Linked DNA regions of Canis lupus familiaris. The protein of the gene in region 1 binds, or shares a complex with, the protein of each later gene. Links are inferred from orthologs where the notes say so. Each region holds a gene or a part of one and is shown on either strand. Other genes may lie near its edges. The genes, in order: ROPN1L and DYDC1.

The links.
Region 2: ROPN1L (region 1) and DYDC1 share a complex: the UniProt entries of both Homo sapiens proteins name them as parts of the axonemal radial spoke complex. The link is inferred for Canis lupus familiaris from reciprocal best matches to the Homo sapiens genes ROPN1L and DYDC1.

The regions. Positions count from the first base shown.
Region 1 is NC_049255.1:4,035,827-4,040,195, forward strand, and holds the start of ROPN1L (ropporin-1-like protein), read right to left. Parts: upstream 3,008-4,369; 5' UTR 2,848-3,007; intron 2,697-2,847; 5' UTR 2,674-2,696; coding exon 2,543-2,673; intron 1-2,542. UniProt on the Homo sapiens protein: Functions as part of axonemal radial spoke complexes that play an important part in the motility of sperm and cilia. Important for male fertility.
Region 2 is NC_049225.1:30,231,440-30,235,849, forward strand, and holds the start of DYDC1 (DPY30 domain-containing protein 1), read right to left. Parts: upstream 2,869-4,410; 5' UTR 2,853-2,868; exon of another isoform or gene 2,697-2,852; intron 2,672-2,696; exon of another isoform or gene 2,520-2,671; intron 550-2,519; exon of another isoform or gene 409-549; intron 1-408. UniProt on the Homo sapiens protein: Functions as part of axonemal radial spoke complexes that play an important part in the motility of sperm and cilia. Plays a crucial role during acrosome biogenesis.

The DNA.
Region 1 (4,369 bases):
AGAGCAGTGGTTCCCAACAGTCCTCCCACCCACTGCCCCGGGGGCAAAATCTGGAGACCTCTGTGGTTGTCACAAGAGGGGGTGGGTGGTGCTACTGGCCTCTAGCGGGTATAGGTCAGGATGCTGCTCAGGGTCCTACTGCCCAGACACCCGCATACCCCCACACTCCCCAGCCATTATCCTGTCATGGGCTCAACAGGGCCAAGGCTGAGAGTCTGCAAGAGGGTCAAGCCTCCCGGTGCTAGTCCCTGGAGGCACATGCGAGCAGAAAGCAGCCTCTAGCACTGGACCAATTCTCACACACACACACACCCCCCCCCCCCCGTCACCCTGTGCGGGGCACCCTGCGCGGGGCACCCTGAGAGGGGCACCCTGCGTGGGGCACTGGTGACAGAACACAGACGGTCCCCTAGTGGCCGCATCAAGCTGGGGGCCAGGCTGATGGACCTGTGCACCTGAAAGCCTTGCTTGTGCATCTTCCCCAGCAGGTACCCACCTGTGATTCCTGGTTCTCTGCTTTGTTTTTAGCTTTTTTGTTTTTCTTCTTGTCACCTCTCCTTTGTTCGTATGCTGTTCCTCTCCCCGGAATGCCCTAGCCTTGTCTTAACCTCAAAGAGCAATTCGCCCTCTTCTGAGCAACCTCTCACCCCAACAGATGCTGCGACAGCTGGGATTCATACAAGCCCATTTCACACGCACCACTTAGTGAATGACGCCTGCTTTTCCTCCTAAGCTCCAAAATTGTTGAGAGAAAATTAGTTGCATGGAACATCCAGAAAGTTCTCAATTATGCCTTTTAAATTAAAGTGAAGCTTAAATTAAAATAATTTAAAGTCCCAAGAAAGAAAATGATTTAATCTCGGAATGTTCTGTTAAGTACAAATAATAAATGTTATTGTACAGAACAAATGTTCTGTTAAGTACAAGTACAAAGGACGCTTGTGCGTCCTTTCATTGATGCTTGAATGACGGTTAAAACCAGAGGCCATGATTTTTTTGGGCAAGACCCTTGAGAGAATCTTGCAGAAGCAACTGACAGAAGTGCCTGTCACAAGGTGAAGCACTGGATTAATAAGTAGCCTTGTGGTGGGTTCACTAAGGGCCCCTAATCCTGGAAGCTGTGTATCTTATTTTGCATGGTGACAGGAACTGTATAGATGTGAGAGAGGATTCTGAGGTAGAAAAATTATCCTGAATTATCTTGATGGGTCCTAAATGCATCAGCTTTAAAGATGGAGGAAGGGGCCATGAGCCAAAGAACACAAAGAATGCAGCTCCAAAAGCGGGAAAAGGCAAGCAAGCAAGCGATTCGATTCTCCGTAGGGCCTCTGACAATTTGACTTTAGCTAGGTGAAACGGATTTTGGACTTTCAGCCTCCAGAACAATAAGACAATACATGCCTGTTGTTTAATCCATCAAAATCTGTGGTTATTTGTTATAGTGGCCAAAGGAAACTAACTCACCTTGGTTATTTATACCATTTAGAGGTCAGTGAAATCTGACATGCTAGTTACTAAAACATTTAATTTTTAAAAAAGATTTTACTTATTTGAGAGAGAGAGAGAGAGAGAGAGCGCGCATGAACAGGGGGAGGAGCAGAGACAAAGGGAGAAGCAGATTCTGCTGAACAAGCAGCACCACCTGGGGCTGGATCCCAGGCCCCTGAGATCATGACCTGCCAAAAGAACACGCTTAATTACCGAACTACTCAGGTGCCCCAAAACATTTAATTTTATACTGGTTCTTGTAATCATAAAATTGAGTTTCTAAGTCTGTCTACTGAAGAGAGGCAAAGAGCTTTCCTTTCGAAACCTAATGGGTTTACTTTAAAGGTTCTAAGGCCTGTTAACTTTGTAACTTTGAAACTATGACCATTCCTGAAAATAGCTACAATGCTGCAAGAAAGGGTGAAGGCTTATTTGCCTTCTGGGAACTAAGTTGAGCAAAGTTTAACCTTATTGCAGCATTGGGATAATTACCCCAACATGACCTCGGGGGCTTTGATCTAAGAAACTTAGCGCCGCCTGCAGCCCAGGGCATGATCCTGGAGTCCCACGTCGGGCTCCCTGCATGAGCTTGCTTCTCCCTCTGCCTGTGTCTCCGCGCCTCCCCACCGCCCCCGAATAAATGAATTTTTGAAAAATCTTAAAAAAAAAAAAAAAAAAACTCAACAGGGTGGGAGGATTCTCCAGAATGAGCAGCTTAGCCTTACAAGAAACCTTGTAAAAAACCATTTCACAAATAAAATAAAGGGAGTGGAGTAGTTTGATTTTATCACACAATGCAGAAACTTTTTACCGAATGCAATCGCTTTTTAAGTTTCGGTCTGAGCAAGTACCAGTCTCCAACAGTGGAGCTGTCATGCCTTTGCAGGAAAGGGAGCATTTGGCAGCGACTGCTGGGAAACTCAATCAACCGGGATGGTTCCTAGACAGGTCCTCAGGTGCAGACACCACCCGCGCGTCGCACCGGGGCTGCAGGCGGGAGGGCCAGGGGCACGACCCGGCTCGCAGACCGGCCGGCGGCCACCGAGGCGCTTACCCCGCGGACCACTGCAGCACATCGGCGGGCTGGGTGCGGATCGCAGCCTTGGTGAACTGCTTCAGGATGTCCGGCAGCTCCGGCGGAATCTGGATCTGCTGCGCGCAGAACATGGTGTCGGGCAGCGGCATCGCTCTCCGCGGACCGGACCAGGCTGGGAAGAATCAAGATGGGCTGCGTGGAGGAGGGCGAACCCGTGGGCCTCGGGCTGCCCTGCCTCCCCCGGATTTGGAGCCCGGCGGGGGGACCGGGGGCGGCCAGGAGGCCGGCTTCGCGAGGTCCGGGCGGCCGGCCGGGGGCCTCACCCGCTCCTCCTCGGGCTCCTGGGGCTCCGCGGAAAGTGAGGACCAACTGCCCCTCCCCGCGACCGCCCGAAAGCGCCCGCGGCAGCGATTGTTTCGCGGAGTATCCAGGCAACCGGGACGCCCGCGGGCCCCGCCCCTCGGCTCGGCTCGGCTCGGCTCGGCTCGGCTCGGCTCGGCTCGGCTCGGCTCGGCTCGGCTCGGCTCGGCTCGGCTCGGGGCAGGCACTGCGCTTGCGCAGTCTGGCTCTGGCCTTTTTTTGCCTTTCGCTGAACGTTTCACTTAGATCATTTGATCGATTTCCCATTGCGATGTGAAGGGAGAATTCACAAGCCCCCCCCCCCCCCCCCACACACACACCCTTTCCCTTGCTCTGGCTACGTGAGGCTTAAGGACTAGGGGGCTCGGTCGTCCTCGGAAGGAAGGCGTCACGGCCGCGGGGCCGGTCGGCGCAGGGAGCACGAGCGCCCCCGCGCGAAGGAACCTGCCCCTCGCCGTCCTCCCGGGTCTCGCTCAGGCTGCACGATGCCCGCCTGCCCCACGTCCAAACCATCTGCACCGCGTGCAAACCGAGCCCCCGTCTGCCATCCGGTCCGCGCCAAGCCACCGTCTAACACCCTGTCCAAGCCGTCCAGGCCTTCAGACCTTCACTCGCGCTGTTCTCACTGCCCAGGCCTTCCGATTTAAGAGCCACTTCAAGAGTTTAGACGGGGCGATTTTCAGCTCAAGACAATGATTGAGGCTGATTGGGTCTAGAAGGACATAAACTGTCTTCGGATACATGAACTTTGGGTCAAAGGATAGGAGAGCTACTCGGTTCTGGTGAATCCTGACCAGGGCAGCATACAAGGTGTGAATCAGAGCTGTGGCTACCCACCTGCCTTCCCCTGCTCACTTCTAGCCAGAAAGATGGAGACCTAGACCCGGCTATTTCCAGGAGTCGTCAATGACAAACCCTTCCTCCTGCCCTAGAGGTATCACCCCCATCCATTACTCCCCCACCAGGGGACACATTTCCAAATTAACGGCACACTAGCAAAAACTGAAAAGTCACTATTTAGTGTTGATGCAAAATGGAAAAACAAGGAATCTCCTACAATGATGACAGAGGTGTTAATTAGTACATTCTGGGGGCCATTTGGCACTGTATTTTGATGACTTAGCAATCTATAGATTTATCCTATAGAAATACTAGCCTGAGTATATAAAGTAATATGGACCAAAATGTTTAGTAAAGCACATAATAAAATTGGTAAACTAATTCTTTCAGAACATTTTAAATCATAATCTTAGCCACACAACAGAAAATAATTCAGCCAGAATTTTAAAATAAGATAGCTACTTAGGTATTGACATAAAAAGATGTTCACGAAATATGAAGTGAAAAAAAGCACCTAACAGAGCAGAGTCTGTGAATATACATTTACCTGTTGCACATTCTGGGAGCAAACACTAAACTACTGACTGTGGTTACCTCTGGAGAATGGCACATGGTTTTGTTTTTACCACATACACATTATTTTGA
Region 2 (4,410 bases), on another chromosome or scaffold:
AGACACACAGAGAGAGAGAGGCAGAGACACAGGCAGAGGGAGAGGCAGGCTCATGCCAGGAGCCCGACGTGGGACTCGATCCCAGGACTCCAGGATCACACCCTAGGCCAAAGGCAGGTGCTAAACCGCTGAGCCACCCAGGGATCCCCTGGCCCCAATTTCTTCTCAGGCTCACCCCAGACCTCTCCCCTGCCGCCAGCATATCCTGGGCTCTGACAACCCTCAGCAGTCTGCCATCCTGACAGCCACGCCTTGCACACCGCCATCTCCAAGACTTCTGCCCATAACGCTTTCTCTCTATCTCCCAGCTGAGGAAACATCTCCTCGCCTGCAAGATGCTGGCCCTCTCTCATTCCCTGGACTTTCCCAAGCAACGCAAAGAAGCCCCACCTTCTCCAAGCGACTCACACAGCACTTGTCATGCACGCCGAGATCGTGTGTGTACACACATGTCTGTCCTCCTGCTAGAAGACAAGCTCCTCCAGCTCCTCAAGGAGTGTGTTTTAATCACAGGGCAGGCGTGCTGGCTCTCCGTGGAGGCACGTGAATGACTTCCTCCATCCTCCCAGTAATGTCCCAGTCTATGCAGTTATGAAGGTGGACAGGAACAATCTTAGACCAGACAGGAAGGAAGGAAGGAAGGAAGGAAGGAAGGAAGGAAGGAAGGAAGGAAGGAAGGAAGGAAGGAAGGAAGGAGAGAGGGAGGGAAGGAAGGAAAGAAGGAAGGAGAGGAAGGGAGGGAAGGAGGGAGGGAAGGAGGGAAATAAGGAAGGAGAGGGAGGGAGGGAAAGAGGGAAAGAAGGAAGGAAGGAAGGAAGGAAGGAAGGAAGGAAGGAAGGAAGGAAGGAAGGAAGGAAAAGAAGGAAGGAGGGAGGGAAGGAAGGAAAGAAGGAAGGAGGCAGGGAGGAAAGAATATAGCAAACACTGTACTTCCGGTGCTTTGAAAAAAAACTATCACTCTCAAATTACCCTTATGGAAACCAGTCACTTCTAAGAATCTAATGAAATGTCTTCATCATTCAGTAAATATATACTATACGCATCATTGGTCAGGTATGAGCTGAACATGAGAGAACAGAATGCCAGCATGTCTAGGCCTGTCCCTGGACAAATGCACCAAATGTTCTGCATAAAATTTCAGAAACAACAACCTCCTGAGGTTCATCCTTCAATCCCCAAAGTGCTCTCTCTCATTTGACGATGGTGAGGGTACAAAATGGTATAACCCCTGCGCAGAGGAATTTGGCAGTATCTAGAAAATTACGTAAGTATTTACCCTTTAAACCATTGATCTCACTTGTCGGATCTTAACTTGCAAAAATATGGAGCGATGATATGTGCATGTGGTTATTTTGCTCCATTACTTAGAACAGTCAAACTGGAGCCTCATCCAAAAGCTCATCATTAAGGGACTGATGAGACACAGCAACACGATGGATGACGGTGCATATATATCATATAAAAGGCACGAGGAAGATCTTTAAAATAGGGAGTGATCTCTAGGACACGGTGCAAAGTGAATTAAAAAGGTGCAGAAATTGTTTATAGAGTAAGCCACCTCTTTTGTTGAAAGCAGTGGGGAAAGGAATGTGTGTATGTGTGCCCATAAACGTGGTCATAAAAACTTAAGCTCTGCAAACTGGCACGAATGAACCGAATTCCCTTTCAAGCTGGCGTTGGTGTCTTCACCACACGGAGAGAAGAATTACAGTATCAGCGAGTGTGAGACGCAGCATCCTCACTGTGCTTCTTCGACGCGACACACTCAAAAAGACAAAAATGACGACAGTGACATCTCAATGTCACTTGAAACATAAAAGAAAGAACAGATTCGTGCTGCTGTTCCAGAAGGATAATACTCGGGAAAGGGACCATGTCCCCAAGGGAGAAACTTCTGGGCTAGGAGTAGAATCTGATCCCGAATCCTCCTGGGCACGGGATAGCAGAGCCCAGGAAGCTCCTTACTTGGCTTCCCTGGTTTCCTGTCCACGAAATGGTGATAAAACCCAACTCACAGGTTGTTATTTTTCAGACACACTAACAGGCATCTCATCTCGGCTCCAGGTAAGAAAGGCCTTTCGCAGAGACACGGCTCCCTCAAGCCTGGAGAGGCCGAACAAGAGATACAAAGAGGTCCCTTGCCCAAGCGGGGGGGGGCCGCCCAGCCTGGCGGGAGGGGAGGGGGTTCGGGTGGAGTTGCCCGATGCGGCACAAAATAATACGGATGGGACCCCTGGGTGGCTCAGTGGTGGAGCACCCGCCTTCGGCTCAGGGCGTGACCCTGGGGTCGCGGGATCGAGTCCCGCATCAGACGTTCCTCGGGGAGCCTACTTCTCCCTCGGCCTGTGTCTCTGCCTGTGTCAATCTCATGAATAAATAAATAAAATCTAATATATATACATTATATCCTATATATATATATAGGATGCCCGGGTCAATATGAATTTTGGAGAAACAGGGAGTAACGCTTAGCACAGGGCAGCATAAGCCAGCTGGTTCGTCGTCTACCTGGAGCTCACCTGTGCCGGGCTTTACCTGGCACCCTCCGACCTGGGGAGCCTGCATGGTTTCCCCATCCTGGGTCTGCAGAGGGGTCTCGGGCCTTCCGCGTCCCCTCCCCCTCCGCCCTGCGTGGCCCCGGAGGACCGGGCGGGGCGGGCCCGGAGGCGGCGGCGCTGCCAGGGCGCGGCACTAACCTCTCAGCCGGGCAGCCCGGGCGCCGCCGGGGCCCCTCCCCGCTCACCAGGCCGAGGCCGCACCCGCGGCTGCCGCGGGCCCCCCCAAGCACCCGCCGCGGGGCGGGGCGCTGGGCGTCCGCGCTGGGCATGCGCACACCCGACGCGCGCACCTACCGGCCCCGCGAGGCGCGTCCCGTCGCTAGGCAACGAGCGCGCGCCCCGGACCCAGGTGGCTCCCTGCACGCGGTAGGGGCGCGGGGGGCGGGCGGGCGGCGGGGAGGACCGGGCGCGGGTGTGGCGGGGCCTGCGACCTGCGGGAGGGAGGACGGAGCGGGGCCTGCGACCTGCGGGCAGGGAGGACCGAACCTGCCACCTGCGGGAGAGAGGACGGAGCAGGGCCTGCGGCCTGCGGGCTGGGAGGATGGAGCAGGGCCTAGAACCTGCGGGCTGGGAGGATAGAACGGAGCCGGTGGGCAGGGAGGACGGAGCTGAGCTTGCGACGTGCAGACTGGGAGGATGGAGCCGAGCCTGAGACCTGCGGGCTGGGAGGACGGAGCCTGCAACCTGCGGGAGGGAGGACGGAGCTGAGCTTGCGACCTGCAGGCTGGGAGGATGGAGCCGAGCCTGAGACCTGCAGGCTGGGAGGACGGAGCCAGAGGCGGGCAGGCCCGTGTGCACTGGGAGGGCCGGGGCGGCGGGGTCGTGGGACAGGCCGCAGAGGGCGCCTGCCCACCCAGGCTGGGAAAGTCCCATGGCCCCCTGCCGGCTCCGCACCTTTGCGGTTGCTGGTGACCCCGCCTGGCCCCTCTTGGGACCAGCACAGGTGCTTCTGCCTCCAGAAGGCCCCGCCTCCACCGCAGCAGGTCTTCCCTGACCTAGTGTTTTGTGGACAACCCTCTGCTAGCATTTCCCAGGTTCTGGATTAATCTGTGTTGGGCGGTGCTGGGCAGGAGCGGCCTCAGCCCCGGCGGTTAAGGCCAGGAGTACCAGAGTGGGCGCTGACAGCTGGGAAGGAGCGGAGGCTCTTGCCCTGGCCAGCAAGCCAGAGCCTTCGGAGATTAAGTCAAAAAATACTTGCGAGCACCCACCGTGCGCCTAGCCCTGGGAGTGTGGTGTGGCAAGGCCACCTCTGTGCTTCCCAGCCTGCCTCCTGGGTTGCTAGGCGGTGAACAGGGAGGGCGTGTGAAGGACTCCCAGAGGAGCTCTAGGAAAACTAGGCCCCTCTCCTCTGCTAAATGTGCCCTTCAGTTTGTGGAGAGAGGGCTGCAAAAGGCACCTCTTTGGCCCCTCCCTCTCCTGGCCCTGAGCTGTGGCTCTGTCATTCTGGCTCTCTTGTCTTTGCATCAAGTTTTAGTAAACCGTCAGGCTCCAAAATTCATGGAGACCATGGTTGAAAACGTGCAATTTAGAGCAGATGCTTCCTCCAGAAAGGATTTGCGGCCTACACAGGAGAGCAGGCGCTCAGGGGCTGGAAAGTGGAGAGGCTTGTGGCAGAGTGGGGATTCCGCTCCCTGGGAAGGGCGGTTCTCCTGCCATAAAGGCAAAGTAGATCTTTAACTGAATCACGTGGGGATTTTGTTAAAATGCAGACTCTGACTGTGGAGGTATGGGGTGGGACCTGAGAATGTGCATTTCCACAAGGTAATGCGATGCTGCTCATCAGGGACCACACTTTGAGTGAAAGGGGTGCAGAAGATTGTTCATACCAGTGCACTGGTTCAGGTGGGCCACA